Linked DNA regions of Canis lupus familiaris. The protein of the gene in region 4 interacts with the protein of the main gene of each other region in a biochemical or structural test. Links are inferred from orthologs where the notes say so. Each region holds a gene or a part of one and is shown on either strand. Other genes may lie near its edges.

Region 1 (4,658 bases), on a different chromosome or scaffold from region 4:
GCATTTAGAGCTTGAGCTTGAATGTTATTCAATAAACAAATATTTATTAAATATGGGGTTAGGAATCGTTCTGGAGATAGAGCAGTCAACAAAACAAAACTTACATTCAAGTTAAATGTAGTCCAAAAATATTAAGAAATATTGGGGAAGGGGGGTAAAGGGATCAGGTCCATTACTAACTACAGTTTATCTTAATGTGTACATAGGTAACACATCACAACACTCAAACAAAACAAAACAAAAACTTTCTCTGGTTATTCGTACAGCTGAGCTTTGAATATGAGAGTTAAGGGCACCAACCCCTTAACAAAGATGAAAATCCAAGCATAATTTAGGACTCCCCTAAAACTTTACTAATAACCTACTGTTGACCAGACTCTTTATCCAAATGTAAACAATAAACACATACTTTGTATATCATATGTTATACACTGTATATTCTTCCAATGAAACTAGAGGAAAAAGGGCAGCCCAAGAGACGCAGCTAAAGCAGCTGTTTAGCATCGCCTGCAGCCCCAGGGCGTGATCCTGGAGTCCTGGGATCGAGTCCCATGTCGGGTCGGGTTCCCTGCATGGAGCCTGGTTCTCCCTCTGCCTGTGTCTCTGCCTCTCTCTCTCTCTCTGTGCCTCTATGAATAAATAAAATCTTGAAAAGAAAGGAAAGAAAGGAAAGAAAGGAAGAAAGAAACTAGAGAAAAAAAAAACAATGTTGAGAAAGTCCTTAAAAAAAAAAAAATTTCACAGGGGCACCTGGGTGGCTCAGGCAGTTAAGGGAGTCAGACTCTTGTCTTGATCTTAGGTCAGGTCTTCATCTCAGAGTTGTGAGTCAAAGCCCCACCCTGGGCTCCACAATGGCTGTAGAACTTACTTAAAAAAAAAAAAAAAAAAAAAAAGGGATCCCTGGGTGGCGCAGCAATTTGGTGCCTGCCTTTGGCCCAGGGCGAGATCCTGGAGACCCGAGATCGAATCCCACATCGGGCTCCCGGTGCATGGAGCCTGCTTCTCCCTCTGCCTGTGTCTCTGCCTCTCTCTCTCTCTCTATCATAAATAAATAAAAATTTAAAAAACAAAAAAAAAGGGTGTGTGTGTGTGCGCGCGCGCGCATGCCTGGATGGCTCAGTTGGTTAAAATCTTAAAAAAGAGGGCAGCCCGGGTGGCTCAGCAGTTTAGTGCGGCTTTTAGCCCAGGTTGTGATCCTGGGGACCTGGGATCAAGTCCCAAGTCAGGCTCCCTGCATGGAGCCTGCTTCTCCCTCTGCCTGTGTCTCTGCCTCTCTCTCTCCCTGTGTCTTTCATGAATAAATAAATAAAATCTTAAAAAAAAAAATCTTAAAAAAAAAAAAATACACTAACCTTATTGTATTTATTGGAAAAGATTTGCCTAAATGGACCCACACAGTTCAAACCCGTGTTACTCAAGAATCAACTGTACTTAGTTTTTTTTTTTTTTTTTTTAATTCATGTATTCATGAGACACACAAAGAGAGGCAGAGACATAGGCAGAGGGAGAAGCAGGCTCCCCACAGGGAGCCCAATGTGGGACTCCATCCCAAGATCACAACCGGAGGTGAAGGTGGACACTCAACCACTGAGCCACCCAGGTGCCCCAATGAGTTTCCTTTCAAGTTAACTCTTAATGGAGCACCATTATTTTTCTGAATTACAGGATCACTTTGAATTCTAAGATAAAACAATAGAAATCAGAAGACTAGCTTTTTACTAAATCTTAACCTAGTATTTTCTAGGTTTAGAAGTAAACATTTCTATTTAATAGGAAGCTTCTTAAACACTAGATTCGATGATCTCTTATACATCTCAGAGTATCTTTAAACGTCATAAAAGAGGGCAGCCCTGGTGGCGCAGCGGTTTGGTGCTGCCTGCAGCCCAGGGCATGATCCTGGAGACCCTGGATCGAGTCCCACGTCGGGCTCTCTGCATGGAGCCTGCTTCTCCCTCTGCCTGTGTCTCTGCCTCTCTCTCTCTCTCTCTCTCTCTCTCTGCATCTCTATGAATAAATAAATAAAATCTTTAAAAAAAAAACATTTAAAAAAATAAACATCATAAAAGATTATAAAAGAAAAATCATTAAAACCAAGGAAAAAAATCAGCAATAAAGAGGTTATAAAATTCAGAATTACTGATTTTTTTAAAACTAAGTTTGTCAAATAGTCTATTATTTACAAAAAGGAATCAAGACACAGGTAAATCTTTTTTAGTTTGTACTAAGTGAGGAATGATATGGAAACATGAAATTCTGCTATTAGAAAGGAAAAAAGTAGTTCCTTTTTGGACTGGGCTTTTGACTGCACATAAATTGAGCAGTGAAAAGCCCTGTCCACAAATGTCTAAAAATCCAACACTCTTTTTTTTAAAGATTTTATTTATTCATGAGATACACAGAGAGAGGGAGAGAGAGGCAGAGACACAAGCAGAGGCAGAAACAGGCTCCATGCAAGGAGGCCGTGGGGACTCGAACCCGAGACTCCAGGATCTCGTCCTGGGCAGAAGGCAGGCACTAAACTGCTGAGCCACCCAGGGATCCCCAATCCAACACTCTCTTATGCACATATTCTTTCTTCAAACAAAACCCAAGATATGCTTCTCATACTTTCAGAGTATCTGTATGTCAGTTGTACTACCATGTAAAACTTTCTAGATAGGTGATCTGAATACACATGCTGACCCAGTTGCTTCCAAATTACTTGCCAAGGTGCATCAGGGCACCACAAGAAACTTACTGGGTTGCTGCAAGATATTTTAAATTTGAGAAAAATTTAGTGATACTCAACCTCAGTTCAGACACCAGGTGGTTCAGTTTTAAAGCAGACTGCACCACATCCCTCTCCATTAATCTTCATTTCTCCAAAGTTAGAATTTTGGTGTTGCTGTGATTTAGAGGAAAAAAAGGGGGGGTGGGGGGGGAGAAAGGGACCCATAAAAAAAAACAAAACAGTAGAGAACAGAAGTTGAGATAGACATATCTAATCTGAATTCAAGTTATAAGAAGTTATACAGTGCCCAAAGGGCATTCATATTCTGTAACTGTGGTTATTAAAAACAAAACAAAACAAAAAACCTTTTTCTTTCAATTTTTGTGTATTTGCTTTTCAAAGACTACTAGGTTGTTCGGATAAATTACTTAAGTTGTTTTGACCTAACTACCTAACTAACAGAACTGCTAGGTTACTTCTTTTGGCCAGCAACACCATTAAAAAAAAAAAAAAAAAAAAAAAAAGGAAACAACAAAAAACCTACTAAGACATAAAAGGGCAAACCAAGAACATTTGTGAACCTGTGTTATTAGTTCCTTTATTTGGTAATTCCTACTCTAAACGTAAAAGTGAAAGCTGTTCTTAAAGATGGTATTTCTCCCAAGACTTAGCGCCTTTCTTCCAAGCAACTCCAACCTTCCTACACTCCCACTTTTGTGCATTCTTTTAAATATCTCCAAAGCAGATATAGTAATTTTTCTTCAGACAAATAAGACTCAAAAAAAAAAAAAAGAACAAATAAGACTCAAGGTCAACGTTCTCAGTGCCTCCAGTAGAGAAAAATTTCAGAGCCTCTGGACTCCATTATCGTATGTCAAGAAGTGGCACAGGTTTTAACAGAAACAGTTTACATAATAAGACAGAACTAGAGAGACATAGTTATTTCTTTGGAAATAAAAGGATCACTGGGAAATTATTCTTCCTTTCTGTAAAGTGGAAAAAATAACCTTTCTGTCAGAAATCCTGAGTTCCAATTCTATCTAGGACAACTCCTTATACTAATTAGCACTGTGTGAACTAGTATTTATGGAACTTAAATATATACTAAAATTTTTAAGAACACCTGTCTGTGACTTAGAGCCTTCCGTACACAAAGATAATTAAAATGCTGAGCTGGAAAGGACCCTGACAAATACTTTTTTAATAATAAAGTATGACAACATGTGAAGATCAACTACTGTACAGAAAATGCACTAAAGCACATTATGGCTTTGGAATACAATAGGGGGAAGAACATACTACTGCTCAAGGTAATGTGTAAAGTAATTGGCATCTTCCTGAAAAACCAGAAGTTCAAAGGTGTCCTAGGGAAACAGAGAAGTCAGCCTCAATTTAAAATCACTGTCAATCTACACAGTACATAATAAAGTTTACTACAATACATATTGTACTTCTGTAACAGAATACACTAGGATCAACAATTTCCCATTTAGGAACTCAGAAAAAATATCTTAAGAATTTATGGGATGCCTGGGTGGCTCAGCGATTGGGCGGCTGCCTTCGGGCTCAGGTCATAATCCTGGGATCCAGGATTGAGTCCCGCATAGGGTTCCTGCGAAGAGCGTGCTTCTCCCTCTGCCTAGGTCTCCGCCTCTCTCATGAATAAATAAATCTTAAAAAAACAAAAACAAACTTTAAAAGCTAGACTGGTTCTAAACAGTCCGTAATACAAGAGTATTTTTCCTTGAAAAATGACATCCCTATCACTCAGAGGACTCCAAGAAGACTTCAAGAAGACTGTAAAACAGAAAATACAATTAAACATGTGTATCTTAAGTAACAGTATATACTTGCCTGCACTGAACTGATTTGTCACTTCCAGTTTCAACTGCTTTCTAGTTAAAGTCTAACTAAGCATAGAAAAAAAAGAAGAAAATCCAGTTGCCAG
Region 2 (4,510 bases), on a different chromosome or scaffold from region 4:
CATGGGGGAGATCGTGAAGCTTGGTGAGGCAGGCAGTGGCCACGCTAAGAAATTTGGATTTTATCCTAAAAGCAACACACACTTTATGTAGGGCAGTGACACCATCCGATTGGAGCTTTTCAAAGCTCCCTCTGGCCGCTGTGGGAGAAAAGTGGCTTATACGCCTATGCCTATGCGATCCACCGCTGTATGCGGTTAAGAGAAAGGATGAGCACTGGGTGTTCTACTATATGTTGGCAAGTCGAAGTCCAATAAAAGAATATACAGAGAGAAAGAGAAAGGGAAAGGACGGTGGCCTAAATCCCAGTGCTGGCGGTGCATGTGGAGAAAAACCATCACCTTTTCACTTGGCGAGGACCAAGTGAATTTGGAAATTCACTTTCCAAACTATGGCAGCTGGGAGAACTGGAAGCTTAAAGACGACGCTGGAGGCTCTGGCTTGGGTGGATGGCGGCGCTTTCCGCCAGCTGGGGAGGACCGGAGTTCAGCCGGAGAGGAAGATAAGGCCTGCGTTCCTGGGTCCTCGGAGTCCGAAGTCCTGGGAGCCACCCGGGCGGAGGGCGGTGTAAACTGCTGGCTGAGCGATCGGAGGCTAGGACAGGTGGAGACGTGCGCGAGGGACCTGAGCGCAGCCGGGGGGCGGGGGGGGCGGCCCGGGTGGGAAGGGCGGGGGCGGCAGCGCAGCCCGAGGGCCCTCCCGCCTGCGGGTTCTGCCCGCCGCAGCATCTCCTCGCGCTTCTCAGGCTCCACCTCCTGGAGGCGGGTCGGCAGCGGCGGTCGGCAGCGCCCACAGGCAGCACGCGCGGACGGCGGAGGCTGGAGGCTCGGCCCCCCGGGCGCGGTCGCCGAGGCGCGGAGGGTGCAGAGTCCCGTCCTCCACGCCGGCCGCTGGGCTCCGGGGCAGCCGTGGCCCTTGGCAGCGTCTGCAGCTCCTCTTAAGCGGAGTCCACCGTGCAGAGCTGCGGGGAAACCGCGGCCCAGCAAGGCGGGCGGGAGGGGGCGCTGAGGCCGAAGGGGCGGGGCGTTTCCGTGGCGCCGCTGCTCCGCCGGGGATCGCCGTGCTGGGCGGGCCACCTGTCCCCCGCGGCTCCGCGCGCCCGGCTGTCGGAGGAGCTCGGAAGACCTCGGGTTCCGGAAGAGCTGGGCGGGGCGAGCGGGGCGCGGGCGGGGCGGGGCGGGGCGGGGCGGGGCGCGGGGGGCGGGCGAGGCGGGAGCGCACCCGGGGCCGGCTCGGGGCTGGCTGAGCGCGGGCGGGGGCGAGGCGGGGCGCGGGCGGGGGCGGGGCGCGGGCGGGGCGCGGGCGGGGGCGCGGGCGGGGGCGGGGCGGAGCGCGGGCGGGGGCGCGGCGGCGGCGCTGGGCCTCATAGGCAGCCGCGCGCCCCGGCGCACAAAGGCTGGCGCATGTGTGAGCGGCCCGGGAGCCGGCAAAGGGAAAGCGAAATCCGCGGGGGCGGCAGGGGACGGCGAAGGCGCGGCGCCGCGGTCCCGAGGCGGGGGTCCCGGCCTGCCCGCCCCGCCCCCTGGGCCCGGGGCCTGAGCGCGCCGCCGCGGCCATGGCCATCGCCCACCTGGCCACCGAGTACGTGTTCTCGGACTTCTTGCTGAAGGAGCCCTCGGAGCCCAAGTTCAAGGGGCTGCGGCTGGAGCTGGCGGTGGACAAGATGGTCACGTACATCGCCGTGGGGCTGCCGCTGCTGCTCATCTCGCTGGCCTTCGCGCAGGAAATCTCGACGGGTAAGGCCGGGCGGAGGGGCGGGGCCGGGCGGCGGCGCGAGCCGCGTGGGCCGCGGTCCCGGGTCTGCGGGACGTGGTCTGACTGCGCGCCCCGTGGCGGGGACGCGGGGTAGAAAGGCAGCCCCGGGCTGATGGCCTCGAGTGTTCTTTGCGCACGTGGTGCAGGCTGTGGCCCTGCGGATCCCGCTTGCATCCCCCCCCCCCCCCCGTTCTGCCTGCACCCCGCTGATCCCGACTGCGCCCTGGAGTGCGTGTCCTGCCCTCGCTATCAGATTTGTGGAAACCACGGCCTCCTCATCCCGTCCTCTCTCTCCCACATTTGCGTAATTATCCACAATTTTGGAGCAGAGAAGTTCCGGAGCGGCTGAGCGGAGGGCGTGAAGAAGAGGACTCCGTGAAAGCTGTGCGCTCCCTTCTTTATCTCACTGGTCGATACCGAGACTTGAGCTCTGGGGGGTTGGTTGTGAATGATGGGAAATGACTGCCCTTGGCTGGTATTAGTGGGATCCCAGAATCCTCCATCTGAACGGCCTTACTATGAATGGGGGATGAACAAGCCCCCTTCACGTGGACTGTCGTTTACTCATAATAACGCGTCTGAGGTGCCAGTGTCTGGGGCAGGATCTTGTGGTTGCCTAATAAGACTCTCTGGTCTTCCTCAAGAGCTGAAGCATAGAAAAAGGATACTTTCGAGTCAGCAGGAAAGCAGCTAGAAACAGTTTGATGGGCGGTGGGAGAGAAGAGAGGACGGTGGGGCTGGGCCTGGGGGAAAGCCTATGTGAGAAATGGTGCTGGCTTCTGGCCGTGGAGCACAGTGGAATTTGCATAAGCAGAGGTGAGACCTTTGTTAAGATTCTGAGATCACAATTGCACTACTCGGGATTTACCCCAAAAATACAGATGCAGTGAAAAACTGAGACACCTGCACCCCAATGTTCATAGCAGCAATGTCCACAATCGCCAAACTGTGGAAAGAGCCTCGGTGTCCATCAAAAGATGACTGGATAAAGAAGATGTGGTTTATGTATACAATGGAATATTCCTCAGCTATTAGAAACGACAAATACCCACCATTTGCTTCAACGTGGATGGAACTGGAGGGTATTATGCTGAGTGAAGTAAGTCAATCGGAGAAGGACAAACACTATATGGTTTCACTCATTGGGGGAATATTAAAAATAGTGAAAGGGATTATAGGGGAAAGGAAGGAAAATGAGTGGGAAAAATCAGAGAAGGTGACAAAACATGGGAGACTCCTAACTCTGGGAAATGAACAAGGGGTAGTGGAAGGGAGGAGGGCGGGGGTGGGGTTACTGGGTGACGGGCACTGAGGGGGGCACTGGACAGGATGAGCACTGGGTGTTATACTGTATGTTGGCAAATCAAACTCCAATAAAAAATATACCAAAAAAAAAAAAAAGATTCTGAGATCGCAGAGAATGTTATATATGTTCCTGGAAGGAGAAAGATAATGACTATACTCCCTGAGGAGGAGTGTTAGTCACAGTTTTGGGTTATGAGCATGAATATGGGTCCAGGTCCGTTAGAACAGAGGCGTACAGGCTTGGTAGTTTTAAAAGTGCAAAGTTATTGTGTGAGCAGAGGATGGACTGGTTGAAAACAGTACTGAATAAGCCTGATGGTATCCTGTAGGGTCTGGGATCAAGGAGGAGAATCGGAGCTAGGGAGGCCAGATGCCAGAAGATGGGGCCTTGGTTGACGTCTTGTGCATGGATGGGGGCCAAGATTTGAAGGGAAAGGATGGGAAGGGGTGAATTCTAAGAGATCAAGGAGCAATAAGTGGCACCTGGGTACCTAGTTTTTAATAGGCAATGAAGGGCAGATATGACCAGAGTTGATAGAAAGGCTGCAGCCCAGAATGATTGGAGAATGGTGGGGGGGATTTTTGTTTTTTAAAGATTTATTTATTTAGAAAGAGAGAAAGAGCACATGCACAGAGCAGGTGGTGGAGAGGGGCCGAGGGAGAGAATATCTAGCAGACTTCCCACTGGGTGCAGAGCCTGATACGGGGGCTCGATCTCATGATGTTGAGATCATGACCTGAGCCGAAATCATGGTCAGAAGCCTGAGCCCCCCAGGTACCCTGAGAATGGTGGTACTCTTGATGAGAATAGTGAAGTTGCAGGAGGAGTTAGTTAGAAGAGGGTTATGGTAAGCTTAATTTTGTGATCTACAGCACTAAGTTGTTCAGTGTGGCAGGAAGTTGCCAAATTCATTGTGGAGAATACGTGATCAGTTTTTTTGTCTTTGGGCAGGCATAGTCCTGGGGTTTCCTTCCGCCTTCCAGATGATCAGGAGTTGGGACTTCTAGTAGAAAGGAAAACCACCAAGCAGCTTGGGTCCTAGAGATAATCTCTCCCTTCAGCAGATGTTCTTTGGGTACCAGCTATGGGTTGGACCCAGTGCTATGCCCCGAGGGCCCAGGAATAAATGAGGCACAGTCCCTGTCATGGAGGAGTAACAGTCTTGGGCACCTGATGCCAGGAGGAGGGAGTTGGTTACCCTTGGTGATCAAAGTTGACATCTACCCCACCCCCCCATACTAGAGGGATTCAGAAAGCAGAAGCACTTTCAACAAGTTTAAGTTGATGGGCTGAGAGGCATTTGGCTGGCATTGGGAATGGTTTCACCCAGCAGGAGTCTGACCTTACGCTATGCACAGAGCACTGCTGTGTGTTGAGTGGGACAAGAAAGGAGTTTGAGGCATGGTCTTCCTCCCACCCTGTAAGAGTTTACCTCCTATCTGGGTGCTAGG
Region 3 (3,946 bases), on a different chromosome or scaffold from region 4:
TAAAAAAAAGATGTTGGTGTGCTGATGCTTTACCTTATCCACTCGGTCCTTCTGGATTCCATATTGCCCACCAAAGCCCTTGGCATAATCTGCAGAACACAAAGGTTTGAGAGTCATAAGAAGAGTTAAAATGCTAGGAATATGTAGGTAGAGGATTTTATAGGAAGAAAGACCAGAAGACAGGAATGTGGAAAACAGAGATGGATGAGGAAGTATGAGAATCAGAGGATAGAGAGAAGCATGGATGGGAATAGGCAGAAAAGGACTGAGAGAGAAAGGACAGGAGAGAGATGTGAATAGGGGAAGATAAAAAAGAGAGAAGTGAGAGAAAAGGAAGGAATACAAAGAAGAAATGAGAAAAAATAAGGAGAGCCATCCAGCCATCTCTTATATGTCCCATCCCTTATGTGTCCGAGAGAGACCTCTCTGTCCTTGTGAGGCATGGGGGCCTGTGAGACTCATAACCAAACCACCCACTTGTCATCACCCAGCCCGTCTGAGTTTACCCTTTCCTCAGTGACCCTTTCTCTTTGGTCTCCTCCATCCTGCTCCTAATCTTGCTATTTTCTTCTCTGTCCTCCTGGTGTCTACCCCAACCCCTACATACATACGTACACTTACCCTTCTGGGTCCTCTATGTCAGCTTCCAGAAAGGAAGGAAGGCAGACTTTATGCTACTCTGAGACCTTCTTCCTCTTCAACCCAACTTACCTCTTTGGGACTCGTGTTTCTCTGTTTCTCCCTTGTAGTCATATCCCAGAGCTGCCTTGTCCCGTTTATCCTTCTCTATACCATAGCGGCCTCCAAAGCCATGAGAGTAATCTATGGTGGAAGGAGGAGTCATGAGAGCCTGCTCTAAGCCCACAGGAATGTGCTGTGGAAGAGAGAAGTCAGGAGGAACGGGTGCAGAGGGATAAGGGCCTGGGAAAAGAGCAGGGCTAGGATCTAGGTAGATTAACAAGAAACAAGTATCCTAAGTCATCTTTTGTAAGCGGTAATTCAACACTGTTCACTCCTTTCCTCTCCTCCTTTACCTCCATCCTAAAATAAGAAGATCGTTTCAATTTTCTCCCTTCTTCAGGGAAGGGGAAAGTATAGAGAATGTAAAGAGAGACTTTTAGGAGAAAAAAGGCAGATACATATGAAAACAGGCATATGAAATTTATGCCTGTTCCTATTCCCATATAAACACTTAGAAATGTCTCCTCAAATATAACAATTTTTTTTTTTTGTAGTGAAGCTCAAGAAAAAAGAAAAAAATATCCTGGCTCCAGAAGCAAATAGATGAATCAAAGCCATAAATATGAAGGCAATTATGAGCTAACTCAGAAAGCCCAAGGGTGTTTTAAATCCCAAATTTAGTCCCTAGGGATTAGGATAAGAACAGCAGGCTGGGGAACAAGAAATGGAAGTCTGCCCACTTCTATAAAAGAGTTCTAGAAAAATTCTATTCATTTGTTCAGGGAAATGGTGAAGGGGGTTGTAGTTTGTTCAGCATTTGGTAGGGGGAAATTTTACCTATGGAACTTGGAAACTCCAGGCCTACCCTGAGTATGTAGAATGCAAATATCCCAGTTTTATACTATTTATATTACACAGGAATTCTAAGCTGGGAAATTAATGCTGACCTAGAAAAATATATACTAAAGAAAGAATATGCATCAGAAAGATGGCAAGAATATCAGACAAAGTAGACCTCAATACAAAATGCATTATAAGAGATAAGAGAAATATAACACAAAAATAAGAGAACAAATCATCATTAATGAGGAATATGTATGCTGGTATAATCTATTAACAGAATCAAAACTCATGAAGCAAAAACTGACAGAAACAAAGAAAAATAGAAAAATATGTGATCTTAGACGAAAATTTTAACACTCTTCTTACGTTATTTGAAAGAATGTTTAGACAAAAATAATCTAAAATTATAGAAGGCCCAAACAACATTAACAACTAACAAAACCTAATTAACATTTACAGAACATTATATCCCCAAACTGCAGAATATAGTTTTTTCATGCACATAGAATATTCACCAAGGTAGACCATATGGTTGGAGTACCTGGATGGCTTAGGAAAGTAAGCATCTGACTCTTGATTTCAGCTCAGGTTATGATCTCAGGATCATGAGATCAAGCCCTGCATCGAGTTCTGTACTGGGCATGGAACCTGCTTAAGATTCTCCCCCTCACCACTGCACTTAAAAAATAAAATAAAAATAAAAAAGAGAGAGACAATCAAATGAGAATGAAAATCTTCAATATTCATCAATATGAGTTCCAGAAGAAGGGATAAAAGAGAAAAGAGAAGAAACACTATCCCAAGACAACAGGCCTGAGAACTTTCTATAATGAAAGTTATTTCTCAGGTTGAAGAGAATCGGTTAGTCTCATGTAGGATAAGAGAAATAGATCCAACACCTAGATATATCTGAGGGTATCAGAGAGAGAAAAAAAAAAACTTTTCATGAAAAAAAAAAAAAAACAAACAGAACAGAGAGACAAGACATGTTACCTACAAAGGAACAAGAGTTAGACTCCACAAGAGAGATGCCAAAAAGTATGAAATAATATACTCAAAGTGATGATGGGGAAAATAGCAATGAAGAATGAAACAAAATGTATATTTTAGACAAAGCCTGGGAGTTTTTTCATAGGCTCTCACTGGAAGAATTATCAAAGGATATACTTTAGTAAGAAGGAAATAGAAGAAAAGAGGAAACAGATACAATAAACAGTGATGCACCAGATACTTGGTAAATATGTTGGTCAATTTAAATAAATATTCACTAAATAATAATAATGATTCATTTTTGTGGGGTTTAAAAACACAAAATCCTTATACTGAGCAACAACAATTGGCCAGTTGGCACTAAGAATGTAGGATGTAGAAGGAATGTAATTAACTTATTCTATATTTCCTTTATTACTAGGAAGAGATAGTGATTAATTTTAAACTTAAGTCAAAGATGAATGTTAAAATCTAGGGACTACTTCCTAAAATAAAGTAGTAGAATACCTTATTTTCGATCCATTAGAGGGAAGGGGGACTAAAGAAAACTTGATCAATCTCCTAGAAGAAGGTAAATAAGAAAGAAGCAAGTACATGCTTGGATTTAAAAAAATAAAATAGTGGGGAACTGTGCCTGCAACTAAAGGGAGTTGATGACAGCTGTTGGGAGGTGAAGTCTGAGTAGAACAGGTCAATCAGGTTGCTAAGGCTGGAGCGCAGGGTCCTTGCCTTTCTGAGATGCGTGCTTCTCCACTTCTCCTTTGTAATCAAAGCCAACTGCAGACTACAGAGAAAAGGAGAGTGGATTAGTTAGAATTGGAACTGACAGTTTTTCCCCTCCCTCACACACTCATACTCCTAGCTCAGGCCAGAAGCTAGTTTACAAGAGCTCAAGGCTGAGAATGGGGGTTTAACCTAGAAACAGACAAGAACCCTGACCCGGCAGGCTGGTGTAGTGGCTGTATGCTACAGAGCAATGAACTTGCGCTCCGTAGGTTCATCAACTCTAGATTCAAAACCCAACCCCACCTTCCCTCTTTATAGTTGTTTAACTTAAGCATATCCTTTATATCACTGAGCCTCAGTCACCTCAAATATGAAATAAAAATAGGCAAACCTGACTTATTTGCCTCAACTATAAAATGGGAGAAATGATATTGTGGGTACTAAGTGGGGCAAGGTATATAAAAAGTATTTGTATTGTGTCATTCAGTAAATTAGTGCTTTTCTTCCTAATTCTCATGAAACTAAAATAATAGCTAGAAAAGTGCCTTGTAAACTATAAAGCACTATGCACATGTAAGAAATATTATCCCATTCCTAATGGATTATATATACCACACCTCTTCTCTTTCCCTAAGTGGCAGGGGAAACCCAGAGATGTATTTTGGTGGGATGAGAGGCAACTGGGAGAACTTGGGCCCTAACTGCT
Region 4 (3,946 bases):
GTGATAAATACTGTGCTTTGGGTCATATTTCCATTTTGTCATTTTCCCATCATTTCAGGGTAATTGTTAAGATTTTGAAAGATAAATATCTCACAAAGTTACAAGAAATTTAAAAATTTAAAACTATGAAATATATTTGAAATTTTATAAAAATTTAGAGGAATACCCTAAAATGTGGAGATTAAAAGCGTGAACTCTGAAGTCTCACAGGTATGCTAGGCCTTAGCTCTGACACAGCATCTGCATAAGCATCAGCATGTTCCTGAGCCCCACTGCGGTCATTTCCCCATCTGTGAAATGGTTTATCATGAAATTTAAATCAGGAAAGGCCTGTAGCACACAGCCTGACATGCATTCAACAGATATGAACTGTTCTTATGTGTTGTAAAAGTTGTATTAATGTGAACAGTAGCATTGGTCATTTCTACCTTTGTAACCTGTTGTTTGATTTCCAAACAGAAAGATCTTACATGGAAGTAAATCAATGGACTCGGGAATGTCCTTCGACAACAGTTATAAAATGGATTATCCAGAAATGGGTTTATGTATAATAATTAATAATAAGAACTTTCATAAAAGTACTGGTATGTATCCTAACATGATTTTTAGTCCTCTTCAAGTATTGTACCTTTTGTATTTGGTATAATATAAAAAAATAGAACTGGTGTTTTTGGTTAGAAAACGGTAATGCAGAACAGCCATGATATAAAGATAGAGCAGGACTCCACACACCCTACATCACGAACTCTTGACCTGCCCATCATCAGAATTTCTCCCTCTTCCAAAAGCTAGCCTCCCATCTGTATGTTGGCTCTCCTGTCCCAACTTCTGTGTAACCCTTGCTTGTTTATCCTCCTGCTTCCTCTTTCATTCTAATAGAAGGATCACAACAAATAATGACTAGTATTTTTCTTTCAAGAACTGTGCAAGGTACCTCGTAGGTATTATCTCATTTAATTTTAACAACAACTCTGAAAAGGTTAAAGTTCTGGCAGAGAGTCACACAGATCATTTAGTAGCAGAGTTGGGACTTGGCCTTGGTGTGCCTGACCACCCTCCACCCCCACCTCCCAGTCCCCACTCGGAGCTCTGAAGTCACCTCCTGCACTACTTCACTTTGTTGTATCTTCATTTGCTCTATTGACGTCTTCCTTTCTCCCCACAAAAATGACAGAACCCCATCTTAAAGAGATCTTTCTTTTACCCTGCTCCCTCTCAAGCTTTGATCTGATTTTTGTCTCCTCTAAATTTTGAAAACTTGTACTTTAAGCTTGCCGTCATCACTTCTTTCCACATGTACTGAAACTGCTCTCTTATGTTCACCAGATCTCCTTCTCAGTCTATACTGGGTGTGACTCAAATCTAGAATACGATTCAGACTTTTTTTTTTTTTTTTTAGCGAATATAAACAATAAAATCCCTTACAGTCCCCAAAAGTTAATTAATATCTTGATGTATTACTTGATTTCTTTCTAGTTTCTTTCAAAGCTTAATGTCATTCCTAATATGCAAGCAGTACTATATCCTGCTTGTTCTATGTAATGTAATATAACCATTTTTCGTGTCTCTCTCTAATTTTGAGATCTTTTAGTGATTATGTAATATTCTATTTGCTTAATTTGCATAATTTACCATATGGTAAATTTGGGCTGTATCTCCATTTCTTATTTTTATATTGATGCTATGTTAATTGTTCGAATTGGCATATTAATCACTTTACACTTAACTTTTAATTAAAGAAGTTAGAAGCAGTAGGTCCAATTTAGGTGGCCATCTACCTGGCTGGTGGTGAAAATGGCCAGAAGAACCCAGATTGTACTGGAAATATAAGCAGAACTTGGTATTAGATTAGTTATGAGGAAACAGCAATTGGAAAAATGGATGTCTAAATCTGAATGGGAGCATTTGTATTGCTTTTGGCTCTAAGTTGAGATGCTACCTTCAACCATCAGATACTCTACATCACATTGCTAGTTACAATGCCCACTTCCTATAGACTTTTACATTGTTGAACCTATTGTTTAACAACCATAACAACAAATTACCTAAGCCAGGAGTCTGGCTTTAGCATTAGAGTGAGCTCGTCTTCTGTTTTGAAAGGTGAAGGTCAGGTCCTCACAGTGATCTCCTGGCAGTCTTGTATTTTCTGTTCTACTATTAAATGGCTCACAATCCAGGACTGGAATTCACTCACCTTGTCACATAGCTGCCTAGTATCCTCAGCCTCTCCAGAGTCAAAACTTTGATAGGCTTTTTAAAATTGTATTAAAATTACATATCATCATAATAAAAGATTCAGAAAAGACAGATTAGCAAAAGAAAAAAAACTTAAAACCACTCATAGTCACACTACTCAGAGATGCTCTATCAACAATATTTTGAAGGCATTGGCATTGAGTCTTTTATTCTATTCATACATTTAAATAATTGACTCAGTTCTAAGGTGTGTACTCCTTAACTGTTTAGCATTTTAAAATTTGAGTGCATTGTACAATCTGTACACTTAATGAGAAAGCTACTATAGAGGCTACTAAGTGCAAGACCCCAGAGTACAGGCCTAATGCTAGCTTTATTACTTTCAGCAAGTTCCTGAATTTCACTGTACTCCTTGTCCCATATCTGTACAAAGGTAACTGGTCACACTCACTGTCTCCTTGGTGTTTGGAAGGGTTGACGGAAATTACTCATAGCAGGATGTCTGGTAAACAGTATTGATGTGGCAGTGGTTTGTGGGTTTTTTTCCTGAGAAAAAAAATATTGTTAAAGTAGTAATGGATCTTTAAATTGTTGGGAACTTAAAAATAAAAAAAAATTCAGCTCCCATGAGTGTGTGAGATGTGTGTAGTGTTATATATATCATTTTTCTTAAGCAAAAGCATCCTCTTGTATTACAAGTTTTGTTTAATAAGTGACCTTTTCCCATGGCAGAATTTTGTCTACAGAAATTTTTATTTTTAAAATTTATTTATTTATTTGAGAGTGAGCAGGGGGAGGGGCAGAAGGAGAGGGAGAGAGAGGATCCGAAGCAGACTCTGAGCCAAGTGTAGAGCTCAATGTGGGGCTCGATCACACGACCCCAAGATCATGACTCAAGCCAAAACCAAGAGTCGGACGCTCAACTGACTGAGCTACCCAAGCACCCCTTGTCTACAGAAATTTTGATGGTAATACAGTATTCCATCATAATCTATTATGAATCATAATTTATTTAACCAGATTTCTCTCATTAAGCATTTCAACTGTGTTTTTCACTATCTAAGCAGCCATGAAAGATATCCTTTTTTTTGAAAGATATCCTTATGATTGTAACACTGATATAGCTTATATTATGAAATGTCATTTTTTTTTATATTATGAAATGGCTTATAATCTAAGAAACTAAAGAGACTTTGTGTTACCACGATCAGAATCATTAAATTTTCTTATCAGTTGAAAAGAATAATTTATTGTGGATTGTGTGACTCGCTGAATAGTTTATTTCAGAACAGTTACTCTCTTTTTTTTAGTGCAATTATAAGTAATCCTTTCTGTTTTCAAGGAATGGCACCTCGGTCTGGTACAGATGTAGATGCAGCAAACCTCAGGGAAACATTCACAAACTTGAAATATGAAGTCAGAAATAAAAATGATCTCACATGCGAAGAAATTTTGGAATTAATGAACAGTGGTAAGAAATAATTAAAAGAGTGACCTACCTTCATTGTCTAATTTTATATTACAGTGTAGCTGTAATTATAAAGAACTGTGGTACCATACTCTACATAATTCTACATTTTATATATGTAAAATAAAAGTTATTCGTGTCACCTCCCTAAAGTGATTTTTTTTTTAATTTTATTTATTTATTCATGAGAGACAGACAGAGAGAGAGAGAGAGGCACAGACACAGGGAGAAGCAGGCTCCATTCCATGCAGGTAGCCCAACGTGGGACACGATCCCAGGTCT
Region 5 (4,700 bases), on a different chromosome or scaffold from region 4:
CTGGCTCTGGTGGGGTCCCTGCACCTGCCCCCTAACCTCTGGTGTGGGTGCTGTGTCCCAACTATCAGTGCAGCGTGGGGCAACCAAGAGGTGCAGCCCAAGGGCATGCAGCTTGAGGGACTTGAGAGCAAGGACCCCTGATCAAAGCAAGGCCTTACCCTAGAATGTAGGATTCACAAGGATATGGCAGGAAGGAAACCAGAACAAGGTCATAAGGCTACGCTTCCACTTGGCAACCGTAAGCAGAAGAATTTCTGTGTACCCAGCAAACACACACCAGGTCCTCGCCCAGCCACTATTTCCTTCGGCATAGAACAGGCCATCCCACTGCCCACCTATCCACCGAGAGCACGGAATGACCATTAACAGTGTGTGTGACCCCACAGCAAGCCCGCCCAACACAAAAGAACCCAGGGTCCAAGGGTCAAGAAGCTACAAGGCCTGGTTAGTCCCCTGGAGGCTGCCCCCGGGCACACCACCTAAAGTATCAGGTATCTGACACTTGGAGAACAATCCGCCCATACAAATGTAAAAGAAGGTATTAGAACCCCGAGGGAGAAGAATGGCTTCTTTCTTTCAGGCCTCCAGCTCTGCCTACAAAGACCAGATTTTACATTCTGAATTAAAACTCCACCCCCAAATACAGTTACAGAAAACCACTTTAACTCATTTATTTCACGATCTGGGAACACCAGGCCAGCCCTATGTATTCGATATACTGGCTCTACTATGGTTTTGTCTGTCCTTCCTGATCAGGGAAGGTCCTCTCTGGATGATTAGTGAAGCCTAAGGATACGTCTTTCTCCAAATAAAATTTAAAAACGAGTAATACAATACACAGGCTCACAGAAGAAAGCAGTTAGACTGAATTATCAAAATGTTTAAAAATATGGTAATGGTGAGCTCTAAAGCATAAAATAACAAGATTTAGTGCCCACTGTAGCAACTACAGCAACTTTGAATGATGATGAATGTAATGGATGTTTTGAGATATCCCCAACAAACGTACAGTGATATGAAAATATCTGTAATTTCCACTGGTGACAAAAACCATAGGTACTGCTTTTGCTTTTCTGCCTTCACATTCATAACTGGAGAAAGTAATGAAGTTTATTTAGAGATTAGAGATTAGTGACTAGGACGCCTGGGTGCTCAGTGGTTGGGCACCTGCCTTTGGCCCAGGGTGTTATCCTGGAGTCTCAGGATTGAGTCCCACTTCGGGCTCCCTGCATGGAGCCTGCTTCTCCCTCTGCCTGGGTCTCTGCCTCTCTCTCTCATGAATAAATAAAATCTTAAAAAAAAAAAAAAAAAAGAGAGAGAGAGATTAGGGACTACAGAGATATAAATTTCTCTTCTTCTAAACTCAGATTTTAGGTTAAGAGCCCCGGCACCGAGGGAGCTTCTCCTTTTTATTATTATTTTTAAAATGTTAATTTCATGATAGTCAACAATGTTAAGGGGAGAGCTTCAGATTAGGCGACCCATACATTCAGGTGTAAGATCTGGAGAGCCTCAGGGGCAGATCTAGCTCTGCAGATGGTAAGACCTGGTCGGCTTCTCCAACCTCAACTTCCTGCTACTCCTGCGCTTAAGAACCCCTATCCAGCTCTCACCCCAGGCCCTCAACGCCTGGTGGGTGCACAGGTATCCTGGGTGGTCTCCACTCACTACAGCCACATTTCCCAGTTATCTTCCATTTAACCGAGCTGGTGGCTGCATGGGCAGAAGGCTGTCTCCGAGGCCCTAGAACCTAACACGGTGCCTGACACGCCTGGTGTTCACTGAAGGGAAGTACTGCACGGCAGGTGCGAGTTAGACTGGCTCTGATACCAGAACAACATCCTCCATCTTTAACCCCACTTGGCATTTGGTACCCACTCTGCTCCACCTGGTTAGAACTGAAAACCCAGTAAAGTCTACAGGGTTGTTCTTTCTTTCTTTCTTTCTTTCTTTTTTTTTTTACAGGGTTGTTCTTAAAACATGCTGCTGCCTCACTGCAGGGAGGGAAAACCGAGTTACCCTGACTACCAGCACTGAACTTAACCAACAGGAGCTCCATGTTGGAGAAGAGCAGGACTGGACAGGTAGACAGGAGCAGACTGGCAGCTGGAGGACGCAGGAAGCCCCCCGCCTAGGTAGGAGCCCTCAGACACACGCCCAGTCCCACGGCCCGGCCTGGGAAGCCTCAGCAAATTCACCGGGGCACCCCCAGAGGGTCCAGAAGCCCCGAGGACACCCCTCCGGCCTTTTACTCAAATCAGACAGCTGTAAATGCATCAGGGTGGGAAGGCGCCGGAGAACCTGCAAAGTTGGGGGGGGGGGTGTTATTTCAAACCCCGAATCAGTGAATGCGCTGTACAGAAATCACACCGACTGGTACAGTTCTGCATAATTAAGAAAAAAAATCGAGAGTGAGCGGATGTTGTACAAAAATAGATTAAAATGATCCTCACGCGCCAGGCGCCATCATCAATGTAGGACAAACCTTCCAGCACGAGGGAGGGCAGAAGCGGCGGGCTTCAGAAGCCCAGGCTCGCCTCGTCCTCAGACTTCGGCCGGCGACAGGCAGGAGGAGCCCCCCACCCCGCAGCACCGCTCCGGGCCGCCCTCCCCGGCTCTCGCGGGCGGGCTCCGGGGCGGCCCCTCCCCCTCCCCGGCTCCCCTCCCCCGCGCCCCCAACCGCGCACAAAGCGGCCGCGCGCACCTGCACCATGATGGCCATGCGCAGCGAGTCCTTGGGGATGCTCTCGCTGCATTTCTTGCAAGACGCGCGCCCGCTCTTGGCGTACTCGACCCGGTAGAGCTTGTCCGAGGACTCCGCCATCGTCCGCCCCGCGCCGCCGCCTGCCCTGCGCCGCGCCCTGGACACGCGCCGCCGCCGCCCCCCACTCCCGCTCCCCGCAGACGACCGAGCGCCCAGAGCCGCCGCCGCCGCCGCCCCAGCACGCCGCGCTGCCCGCCGCTCCCGACCGACCGCAGACGCCCGGCCGCAGGCACGCCCCCCGCGCACGCGTCCTCGGGGCGGGGCCGCCGCGCACGCACGTCCTCGGGGGCACGCCCCCGGCGCACGCGTCCTCGGAGCACGCCCCCCCCGCCCCCCGCGCACGCGTCCTCGGAGCACGCCCCCCCCCCGCCCCCCGCGCACGCGTCCTCGGAGCACGCCCCCCCCGCCCCCCGCGCACGCGTCCTCGGAGCACGCCCCCCCGCCCCCCGCGCACGCGTCCTCGGAGCACGCCCCCCCGCCCCCCGCGCACGCGTCCTCGGAGCACGCCCCCCCGCCCCCCGCGCACGCGTCCTCGGAGCACGCCCCCCCGCCCCCCGCGCACGCGTCCTCGGAGCACGCCCCCCCCGCCCCCCGCGCACGCGTCCTCGGAGCACGCCCCCCCCCCCCCCCCCCCCCCCCCGCCTGCCCACTGCGCGGGCGGCGGTTCCCGGGCTCCTGCGGCTGCGCGAGCCGGGTGGGCAGCGGCTGCGTGCAGGGGCGGGGCGTGGGGTGCGCTCCGTCTGCTGGCCTCAAGTCGGGGGAGGGCCTTGTGGTCTCCCGGAGAATCCCCTCCGCCGCTCTCAGGAAGCGCGTCCCGCTTCCCCGCTGTGCCCTGGGACCGTGCGCCGACCCGGGGACCGCGCGGAGTGGGGCGGGGAGCCTCGCCGGTGTCTGCGCTCCACGCGACCGGTTCCCGTGGGAGCTAGAAGACCTGTTGCTCTACAGCTCCGTCGCCCTAGAACTGGCTTCTGTTTTAAACCTGTGGATTTTATTTTCGTCATTTAAAGCATCGCAGTGGCTCAGTCAGTCGTGTCCGGCTCTTGAATTGCCCTGGGGTTGTGATCTCGGGCTCGCGTCCTGGGATCCTGTCCACGGATCCGTGCTAAGCAGGGAGTGCGTGTGAGATTCTCTCTCTCTCCCTCTGCTCCTCCGCCCTCCCTCGCTCTAAGACATAAATCTTAAAAAACATAATCAAATGCATTTTAGTGGCCGGGGCCTGGCTGGGGGTCAGTAGAATGTCTGGCTCTTGAGTTCAAGCCCCACCTTGAGCATGGAGCCTACTTTTAAAAAACACGAAAGTAAAACATTACTGTGGAGTGTGCTGTATCTGAGGACTCGGTTCTGGTAGAGCAGACAAGAAAAACGAACAGGATCAATGAAGCTGCTGAAGCACGCCAGCATAGAGAAGAAAGCTAGTAACCGGAGAGGTGATGTTGAGAGGTGGAGCAAGTAGGTTGCGAGCCCTAGGCAAGAATCTGAAGTAAGGGATGTTAGCTATGTTGAAGGTGAATAGAATAAGTGGAGTGTGTGATAGAATAAATAAAATAACTTTTACTTAGAGAATAGCCAAATCCAAAGATAGGATCACTTGACCTCTGGGTTCACTTATTGGTACTAACATTATGGTCCTGCTCTGGCTCCCATATGCTTTGCCCAAGAACGGCAGATAACACCCATGTCTGTTCAGCAGGCTAGTTGGCAAGCTACAGCTGTGGCCCAGTGCATTTGCCACTGTGTCTCTCTGAGTAGCCTCTAGGTACTTGGACTGGCCTTGAGCATCCTCCGCTCTGGTGTTCACAACCCGACTGTCAGGCCAGCTGATGCGGTGGAGGGATACAGACCTTACCAACACAGCATGACCCCAGATTTAGATGGTGTGGTCTATCTAGCCTCTACCCAGTCCTGTGTGTGTCATCTACCATATATTTTGTTTCTT
Region 6 (3,946 bases), on a different chromosome or scaffold from region 4:
TCCCTTTTTTAGGACTAGTTAAATGTACGGACAGACTATAGTTTGCTAACCAGATTTACCTTGTTTGTCAAACATCAACATGAACATAATCTCAAAGATTTCTGAAATAATTTTACCAAAAACTCACCAAATAAGTTCTTATATAATGTAGAGTCGATTTCTTTTAAACAACTTTTGAAGATGTTGGCAGCAGAGTTTCCTTTAACTAAGACAGTATCAATCAGTTCTCTCGCTTGCAAAGGTATCTGTGTTTTTTGTTTAATGATATCATGTTCCTGTTTATTAATTACATTGGCCTTTAAAAGATTATCCAGGATAGGAAGCACACAAGTCAACTGTTGAAAAAGAGCCATTCTATTCCTCCGAATTAATGACAAATCATCTTCATTTAAAAGAAAGAAGAAAAAAAAATCCATTAGATCTTAAAGTGCTCCAACGATACTCACATAGTCACTAACAACCAAACCTACCAACAATTTAGACGCTAAATAAATAGGTGCTTGAAAAAGCACAAAATTACTTGTTTGCACTTAAATTTAATGTCTATCATTTAGAAAACTTCTGGAAGATTCAGCTAAAGCATATCATATAGTACACACAACACACAGGGTCTCTGTTGTTGTCACTTCTAAAAGTGGAGATATTTACATGTCTTAGAACCCTGCTATTCCATAGAAAGAAAGCAGAGAATTTTAAAGACCAGTAAAATAAATAAATAAATAAATAAATAAATAAATAAATAAATAAATAAACAGATAAATAAATACCAGTAAAAACCTGCCACCTCTGTACTTTCTCCCCTATGAAATTAATAATACTGACTTCTATTTGCATCATACCACTTTAGTTTTATAAGGGCTTTCGTATAAACTCCCTTATTTGATACAAAAGATCCTGTCAATTAAACAAGCAGGTAAGACTACTTCTCATTCTCAAATATGGAGGAAAAGAAACTCAGAAGATGAGTGACCTCCCCAAAGTCAGAGAAAGAATCCGTTGCAGAACCAGTGCCCTGGATGAGTGTCCTTTTCACCCTGGGCTTCACCACTTCAAGAGGAGGGGAGGACAGTAGTGGTACTCATCCCGCCAGGACAGGCCTAGGATCCCATGCCAGCCAGGCTGCTTCCTGGCCCTGTGCCCTCAGCCCTGTCACTTCCTACATCAATCTACTTAACAAAAAAATGTTTTCAGGTCTTGCACTATGCTAAAATGTTTTGTTTGCAACTTATTTAATTCTCACAGTAACCTTGTGCAATTTGTACTATGATCTCCACTTCATAGAACCGCAACCTTCATAGAACCTGTTTTCTTCTGACAGAGCCAGGATTAAAACACGAATCTGTTTCAATATCAAAATCAGACTTTGCATTTTTCTACACGACCACACAATGAGGTTCTCTTAAACCATTTCTATCATTACTTACCAGGTTCAACACAAAATGTCTTCCAGCCTGAACTCCCAATCCACACTGTCTACGCACCCCTCACCTCTGCTGGTTCTTTTGTGTACTAGACTCCACACCTCATCCACAATCCCCACAGGTAAGCACCATAGTTACCACTACAGCACAGTATCTGACAGGTGTTCACGCTCCATTTGTATTTGCTGAAGGAATGATTTCTCAAGAGACTTATTTAGGAAGTCTAAAGCTTAGCACGACCTGCATGAACACCACAATCAGCTCCCTGATTGGCTCCCCACTGTCTCTGGGCTGGGCAGGGGCTTTTCAAGCCCTAGGACTTCACCACCAGTTCCATTTTTGTATAAGGACCACTTAGCAAGGATCAGGGAGTCAAACACCATGGTAAGGATAAGATTTCAAGGAAATTTTTTAAAACACTGAAAGAAGACCTCCATTCAACTTTAAAGTCTTCCTTTCTTCTCATATATAACAATTTAAATTTGTTACATAGGAGAAGAAAAGCAATATACTTCAAGAAGTTAGGCTAAAATCCGGACTGGCATAAATCACAGATCTTGTTGGAAAATAAACATATTCTAGAAAGCTACAGTCCAGTCTGAGCACTGCCCACAGTGCAGAAGGGGATGTGTGTCGGAGGCTCCTGGCACTGCTGCCAGGAGTTAGTGGACAGATGCTGGTGCTCCTGCAACGGGTCATCCAGTCCCGTGACCCTCACGGAAATAGGGCGGGTAATTAACATTCCCAAGTACCTGATGCCATTTCTTCAGTTTGTCTTTCCTTCTCTTCCTCCCGGGTCTCATCTTCAGCATTAAGAAGTGCTAACACAATCTCATTAACTGTTCTGTAGTTCTCCCCAGTGCTCAGGATCTTACTCTGCACGGTCTGCCTCACCAGGATCCTACTGAAGCCCATCTCCAAGGCGGCCTTCACCACCGGGGTGTTCATCATGACTGTGTCTTCTGAATGGTTTTCTCCAGGTCCAAAATGGACAACTATTTGAAAAGACATGTACCAATGTTAAATCCCACAAATGTAAAACTACAGAGAAAAATGATGACTATGGCACAATCTTTCCTCTCCTGCTGCTCATATCCTGGTATGGCACATAAGCTTTATGCACCAATTACCTATAATTCCAACAAAAGTATGAATGCAAGAGGATCAAATAAGAATGTAAAAATATGCTATCCTTTTTTAAAATTCCACTTCCCACACTACACCCTGGAACCTACTTAATGAGCGACTCAAAGCACAGGGCTTAGGAATCCATGTTTTTTTTTAAATTTCTGAAATGATTCCAACATATGGTCATTTTCAGGAACCAATATGCTACACAACTGTAGGAATGCTACAAGAAAGCAGGGAAACCAACAAAGACTTCATTAAAGGTGGCGTCAGAGTCTGGACTTGCCAGGATACATGAGATCTAGAGAGGTGGACAGATAAATCCGAGAGTAACATAGATGTAAGGAGAGTTAAGACTAGTTCATGCAAAATATGTCTAACGACATAAAAATATGACTGAAGAAGTCATTTGATTTCAGACCATGATATAAAGAAAATCAAGCTGTGAAAAGTGATTAAAATAACCCAGGAGGGAAGAAAACAACTGACATGGTGGAGCAGGGAAGCACTTCCTAGAAACAGAGTCAGCACTGACCAACTTGACACTTTGGTGGAAATGACAAGAAAACATCATTCTACATGATGCATGACAGCCACCTGCTGGCAAAGTGTTCTAATAATCATGTCTCTCCAAAGCCGCCTGCAGGTGGTCTCACACACACACATACACACACACACACACACACACACACACACACACACACACACACACACAGAAAGCCAGTCTGAAGTGGCAACATCAGAACAAGCATGTGAATGAATAAAGAGGAGTTATGGGAGTATCTCAAAGAAATCCTGACACATTCAAGAACTAGAGACACAATGGTGAAAGGCACCCAGAGATGAGGATGATCCCCAGATCTCATAGTAAAGCCTCGCCAGCTTATCTTTTACTCTACATGTACTAGAATGTTTTCTATACATCTTAAGTGAAGGATGTTAAGACCGGATTTGTTTTCTCAGATGATGATTCTGGCAGCTCTGTGATAAACTTTAATGAGCTAAGATGGAATGAGGAGACCCGCCAGGAAAGCACGACAGTGATGGCAGTTTGCACTAGGCTGATAGTGCCAGATGGACATGGAGAGAGGCACGCAGATTCAGGCATGTGAGGAAGGCAGGGATGAAAGGACAGCCAACAGATGGAACACACAAAGAGGAGCTCGGGTGACACCCAACTTGAGTCAACTTTCTGACCTCAGTAGGTGGGTACCACAAACTGAAATGGGCAGACCAGACAAGAAACACGTCTGAGGGAGCAAAGACAGAAGAAGAGGTCTGCTTTGTTCATATTAACTCTGAAACACCCGTTATAGTCAAGTAAAGATTTAAACACAAAGTTGGACATGCCAGCCTGGAGCTTAGGAAATGAAGAAATAAATCTGGGCTAAGTGTTG
Region 7 (4,605 bases), on a different chromosome or scaffold from region 4:
AGCAGATAGTCTGGTTCCTGCAGGTGGAGCCTCTTCATGGTTTTCTTTATCCAGGGCAGGAAACTTGAGATTTTGGTGTAGGCCCGGGGAGGTGTCCCATTTTTTAGTCCATAGGAGACAATGCCTTGAGCCACATTGTTACACACGAGAGGGCCCCCAGAATCTCCCTGTGGACAGAGATAGAGGAGGAGTGAGCCTGCCCTCCTAGGCCCCTCTGAGAAGCCTGTGTTGCACGGCCTCCACGAGAGCTAAGAGGACAGGGCCGGCCTGGACTTTGTCACTGCTACACTTCACCCCAAGTGGCAGCTCCCTCTCCTCCCCCGGTCCCGATCCTCTGATGAGGGACTGCTGGCTTCACTCTACTCTTTAGGGGCTGACAGCATGCAGGCCGAGCCCGTAACCCAGGTGGGTGCCAGCTCTGAGGAACCCCCTGGTTTTCATCACTGCCACACCCAGCATCAGTGGCCGGGTTGGGGCAGGGTGCTGCAAATGCATCCTTCTGGAAGAGCATGGTTTGAATTCATTCTAGGTCTTGGCAGGCTTGCAGAGGTGCTTAGGTGCCTTCATCTCTGGCAGCTCCCCCTCTACTCCTCAGGAGAAGGATCACTGGTTATATCTCCAGATCCCAGGTCCTCCCCAAACACCCCTGTCCCCAGAGCCATGCTAAGCAGACACTGAGTCTCACCTGAAAGGAAGACTTGGTTTCCTTTGGATTCCCCACGCACAGCTGAGTGGTGCTGTCATAATACTTGGGTAAGAGGAATTCGCACTCTGAATCCTTCTGCACTTCCAGTGACACCTCCTGCAGAGTGTCTGGGTACCTGCGTATCTTGGCCTCAATCTGCCCCCAGCCGGCCACACTGCACACCTGTCCTGGCCTCACCCGGGCCTTGCCCCTGGGCAGGGGGAGAGTCTTCACAGCCGCAGTCAACTTGGCCTTCCTCTCAAGCTGACGGGAAGAGGTAAGAGAGTCCAGCTCAGCCAGTGGCCTCTGGGCCTGACACTCCGATGAGGCGGCAGTGTCTTCTCTCTCCCGTGAGCCTCTGGGACTGGACAGGTGGCCAGCATGGGAAGGATGGCAGGGACAGGTCCCAGTGGGAGGGAAACAGTCTGGACCCAGGAGGGCAAGAGCTGCAGGGAGGTCTCCTTACCAGCAGTAACATGATGTCATTGGAGTAGTTCTTTGGACTATAGTCTGGGTGGGGGATGGCTCTTCTCACGGGGATGACCTGCTGGGTCTTCTCCTGTTCCTTGATGTTGTGGGCGCCCAGGGTGACTTTGATGGAGCTGCACAGAGAGCAGAGTGGGGTGTGGGGGTGTGGAGTCACAGGGTACAGCCTGGGAGTCGAGAGGGCAGGTGGCAGCCAGGGCAGGGCAGCTGAGAGGGAAATCAAGGTGATAGAGGGAAATCAAGGCAGTACTTAAGCTGAGGGGAAACTGAGGCAACAGGAGGGGCCGTGATTGAGCTCTCTGTGCCTTCTGCTTCTCAGCAGCTGAGGTAGGATTCTGGAGCCGATAGTGAGTGTGCCGGTGGGTCTTAGGGGACAGTTTCCCACAGAAACGTGATTGCATGAGTTGGCATACAATGGCAAAGCATGCCCCAGCGGAGCTCAGCGTGGGGGATGGGGGGTGCGAGCTGGTAGGAAGGCAGGGCTCCCTGCAGGGGTTTTCAGGGCAGTGCAGCCTGTTTAGTACTTCTCACCTCCCCCAACAGTGAGCGGCTGTCAGCACGAACATCGCTTGTATCAGGAACCCACCACACTTGATCTGCCTGCTCGGGTTTTCAATCTGAAGTAACGCCATATAGGGCCGTGAGTGGGGCTTGGCCTCATGTCCCCCGATGATCTCTCCTGAAGGAAAAATTCTGTTCTGCTCTTGTCTACCCACTGAATCCAGCAGGCAGGCATGCCTGATTTGGGGCAGCAGGTAAGGTGGAGGGCCTCGACTTCCTCCCCTGGGAGTTTTGAGGGCAGCAGTCTCAGGCTGTGCATCTGTGTTCTACACATAATCAGAGGGGACCACACCTGTGTTAGGAATAGCAACGTCCTAGAGGCTCCAGAAAAATCCCTCTCCTGACTTTGCCTTGTTTCAAGTGAGTTTCTAAGGCCCCTGTCATCCTGTGAAGTCTTTTCCAGTGGCTGGGATCTAAGTTTAGTTAAGTAGATGTGTGACATTGCCGATTTCCTAAGGGCCTGACGGGTCATAGGTGCCTAGTAAGTGCTGGTTGGCTGCACGAAGGCAAGGCTCCCCGGCGTGCTGGTAGGATTCTGGAAAGCAGAGAAATTGAGGTCTGCCAAGGTCTGCTTGAAAGAGGGGAGCCACTAAGAGCCTGGGAAGAAAAGCAGAGTTGGAGAGAGGGATGAGGAGCCTTGAGGCAGAGGCAAGGCAAGAGCAGTCTTCTGGGGACAGTGATCCATCCAACTGTTGGGTCAGCTGAGCCCCGGGCTTCACTCCTAAGTAGATGCTGAGGGAAGCCCCTTGCTCTGCCCTCTGCAGGGGGATTTATGGTGTTCTCTTTCCAGTTTCTCACCCTCTGCTATTCCAGGAAAGTTCTAATTTCAGATGGCAAAGGTAGAGGCTGGGGAGGGGACAGTAGCGACTAGCTCTTCCAGAGACAGCCTTTTGCCCCGCTGTCCCTACTGCTAGCTTATCAGCATCACACTTGAGAGGGGGAGGCAGGATGAAGGCTGGGGTTGAGAATGTTCCTGGTGGTAGGTGGATAGGGGTGTTCAGAAGGGACAGGAAAGCTGTGCCACTGTGAGATGGGGTTGGGCCTCTTAGGGTGGGGGTGTACACTCACCTGCCTTGGCCCCAGAAGGCAGGCAAAAGGCCAGCAGGAGCAGGAGCAGGAGTGGCTGCATCTTCCCCGGGAGGCTGCTCAGGTCGGAGCTGCTGGCGCTTCTGCACTCCTTTATAGCTCCTGGGAGAGGAAGGGGGTGCAAATGGGCTCCCTGACCTTGAACTCCTCTCTGGTTTTATGGTGCTTCATCCTTAGAAGGCTTTCTATGAAAGCCTCCCTGCCCCCTGCCCCTCTGTCTGATGACGTTCTCTGGGTGGTTGTGTGAGAATCATGCTGTGACCACATCAGAACCCACACCAGTTGACTCAGAGCAGACCACCTGTTCCAGCTCAGAATAGGACAGTAAGCATATCAGGTGGGGACTGGAGGATGTGGTATCAGCCTGTAAGGGTACTAGAGCCCAGAAACCTGGGTCCCCAGTGATAGGACCACCACTGCCTCATTTCCATGCTGCTAGGTCCATCAGGATAATTTCCTTAGCGCTGTGTATTTGGGCCCATGTCTGCATGATCCAGCATACTGGAGATGTGTTTCCTTCCCTCAGAGAGTTGTCTGTCTGGTGGAGGAGTCAGAAACAGTAGCGCCCATGGTCCAGCATGGTAAGCGCCAAGAAAGTAAGAGCATGACCTTTATCTACTAAATCCTTATGGCCACCATTCATCACCCCAGCTTCTTTCCTATGGATTTTTATCTACTGTTTTTAAATGACAAACACTCAGAGTAATAGAGTCCACCTCTCTTGTCAATGTTTTTAACCAAAGTCCTGTACTTGACACTAATTGGCTTCAGTTAATGAACCACCATGACCCTAGAGATTGAATCAACTGACTGAAGGCCACGTCATTCCTCCTTTGTGAAGACTGGGGGCAGTCACAGCCAAGCCCCCCAAGACAAGTCAACTAAGATTGGGGAAAGGTTGGTTCCCCAAAAGAAGTTCAGATGACTAGATCACCAATAACATGAAGTGGAAAAGTATGCTGGGCAACCAAAACCAAGAGTTGTCCTTTGAGTATTGTCAGTTGTCTGTCCAGAGAGCCACACTTCTGAGATAGCAGGTTTGCCACATACTAGTCTCACATTTGTTAAGCCAACTCTGCTGCTGATCTCACTACCATTGGATGTGAGGGGCCGTGGTTTCTAAACAGCCAGGCCCCATTCAGTTCAAAGAACGGCTAAGTATTACAATCCCTTAATCCTATAACTTAAGTATTTTCTTCATGCTCTTAAGAACCTACTAGTCTCTCCTTCCTAGTTAGTGAAAAATTTAGCATGCAATTACTTCCTACAATTGTTGGAAAATTTGAAAACTAATATAAGCAAAGAGAAAATGAAAATGATCTAATTTCTTTCTTTTTAAAGATTTATTCTATTTTTATTAGAGAGAAAGAGAAAGCAGAGGGGAGGATCAAAGGGAAAGGGAAAGAGAGTCTTAAGCAGACTCTGTGCTGAGTGGATGTGGCACTTGACCTCACAACACTCATGTCATGACCTGAACAAAACAGAGGATCCCTTGCTTAATTGATGGCACCACCCAAGGGCCCCTAAAATTATCTGATTTCTGACTCTCTGACTCTTGATCTCAACTCAGGTGCTGATCTCAGGGTTGAGAGTTCAACCCCATATCCCTCTTCCCCGGCTCTGCCCCTCCTTTCCTTACTCTCCTTCTGTCTCTCAAATAAATAAATAAATCTTACAAACGATACGATACCGGTTACAAGTGCTCAAGAAAAGAGAAATATTCTGAAATAAATCTCTCAAAGCATGTATGGGACTTATCTTCTGCATGAGATGAACATAACTGAATG

The links.
Region 1: of the proteins of CASP3 (region 4) and PTGES3, one has a biochemical effect on the other in vitro, tested with the Homo sapiens proteins (2 studies listed by BioGRID and IntAct). The link is inferred for Canis lupus familiaris from reciprocal best matches to the Homo sapiens genes CASP3 and PTGES3.
Region 2: of the proteins of CASP3 (region 4) and PANX1, one has a biochemical effect on the other in vitro, tested with the Homo sapiens proteins (2 studies listed by IntAct). The link is inferred for Canis lupus familiaris from reciprocal best matches to the Homo sapiens genes CASP3 and PANX1.
Region 3: of the proteins of CASP3 (region 4) and HCLS1, one has a biochemical effect on the other in vitro, tested with the Homo sapiens proteins (2 studies listed by BioGRID). The link is inferred for Canis lupus familiaris from reciprocal best matches to the Homo sapiens genes CASP3 and HCLS1.
Region 5: of the proteins of CASP3 (region 4) and PARP1, one has a biochemical effect on the other in vitro, tested with the Homo sapiens proteins (9 studies listed by BioGRID and IntAct). The link is inferred for Canis lupus familiaris from reciprocal best matches to the Homo sapiens genes CASP3 and PARP1.
Region 6: the proteins of CASP3 (region 4) and BIRC2 form a complex in vitro, tested with the Homo sapiens proteins (3 studies listed by BioGRID, with this or other methods). The link is inferred for Canis lupus familiaris from reciprocal best matches to the Homo sapiens genes CASP3 and BIRC2.
Region 7: of the proteins of CASP3 (region 4) and GZMB, one has a biochemical effect on the other in vitro, tested with the Homo sapiens proteins (2 studies listed by BioGRID). The link is inferred for Canis lupus familiaris from reciprocal best matches to the Homo sapiens genes CASP3 and GZMB.

Annotation. Positions count from the first base shown.
Region 1 is NC_049231.1:1,253,881-1,258,538, forward strand, and holds the start of PTGES3 (prostaglandin E synthase 3), read right to left. Parts: upstream 2,863-4,658; 5' UTR 2,848-2,862; coding exon 2,789-2,847; intron 1-2,788. UniProt on the Homo sapiens protein: Cytosolic prostaglandin synthase that catalyzes the oxidoreduction of prostaglandin endoperoxide H2 (PGH2) to prostaglandin E2 (PGE2).
Region 2 is NC_049242.1:6,792,560-6,797,069, reverse strand, and holds the start of PANX1 (pannexin-1), read left to right. Parts: upstream 1-1,487; 5' UTR 1,488-1,553; coding exon 1,554-1,734; intron 1,735-4,510. UniProt on the Homo sapiens protein: Ion channel involved in a variety of physiological functions such as blood pressure regulation, apoptotic cell clearance and oogenesis.
Region 3 is NC_049254.1:25,544,975-25,548,920, forward strand, and holds part of HCLS1 (hematopoietic lineage cell-specific protein), read right to left. Parts: intron 3,299-3,946; coding exon 3,244-3,298; intron 823-3,243; coding exon 712-822; intron 90-711; coding exon 34-89; intron 1-33. UniProt on the Homo sapiens protein: Substrate of the antigen receptor-coupled tyrosine kinase. Plays a role in antigen receptor signaling for both clonal expansion and deletion in lymphoid cells. May also be involved in the regulation of gene expression.
Region 4 is NC_049237.1:46,862,110-46,866,055, forward strand, and holds part of CASP3 (caspase-3), read left to right. Parts: intron 1-459; coding exon 460-584; intron 585-3,538; coding exon 3,539-3,667; intron 3,668-3,946. UniProt on the Homo sapiens protein: Thiol protease that acts as a major effector caspase involved in the execution phase of apoptosis. Following cleavage and activation by initiator caspases (CASP8, CASP9 and/or CASP10), mediates execution of apoptosis by catalyzing cleavage of many proteins.
Region 5 is NC_049228.1:38,451,518-38,456,217, reverse strand, and holds the start of PARP1 (poly [ADP-ribose] polymerase 1), read right to left. Parts: upstream 2,914-4,700; 5' UTR 2,825-2,913; coding exon 2,705-2,824; intron 1-2,704. UniProt on the Homo sapiens protein: Poly-ADP-ribosyltransferase that mediates poly-ADP-ribosylation of proteins and plays a key role in DNA repair.
Region 6 is NC_049226.1:29,436,911-29,440,856, forward strand, and holds part of BIRC2 (baculoviral IAP repeat-containing protein 2), read right to left. Parts: intron 2,417-3,946; coding exon 2,174-2,416; intron 383-2,173; coding exon 128-382; intron 1-127. UniProt on the Homo sapiens protein: Multi-functional protein which regulates not only caspases and apoptosis, but also modulates inflammatory signaling and immunity, mitogenic kinase signaling, and cell proliferation, as well as cell invasion and metastasis.
Region 7 is NC_049229.1:4,634,437-4,639,041, forward strand, and holds the start of GZMB (granzyme B), read right to left. Parts: upstream 3,046-4,605; 5' UTR 2,862-3,045; coding exon 2,801-2,861; intron 1,851-2,800; coding exon 1,703-1,850; intron 1,288-1,702; coding exon 1,152-1,287; intron 950-1,151; coding exon 686-949; intron 168-685; coding exon 1-167. UniProt on the Homo sapiens protein: Abundant protease in the cytosolic granules of cytotoxic T-cells and NK-cells which activates caspase-independent pyroptosis when delivered into the target cell through the immunological synapse. It cleaves after Asp.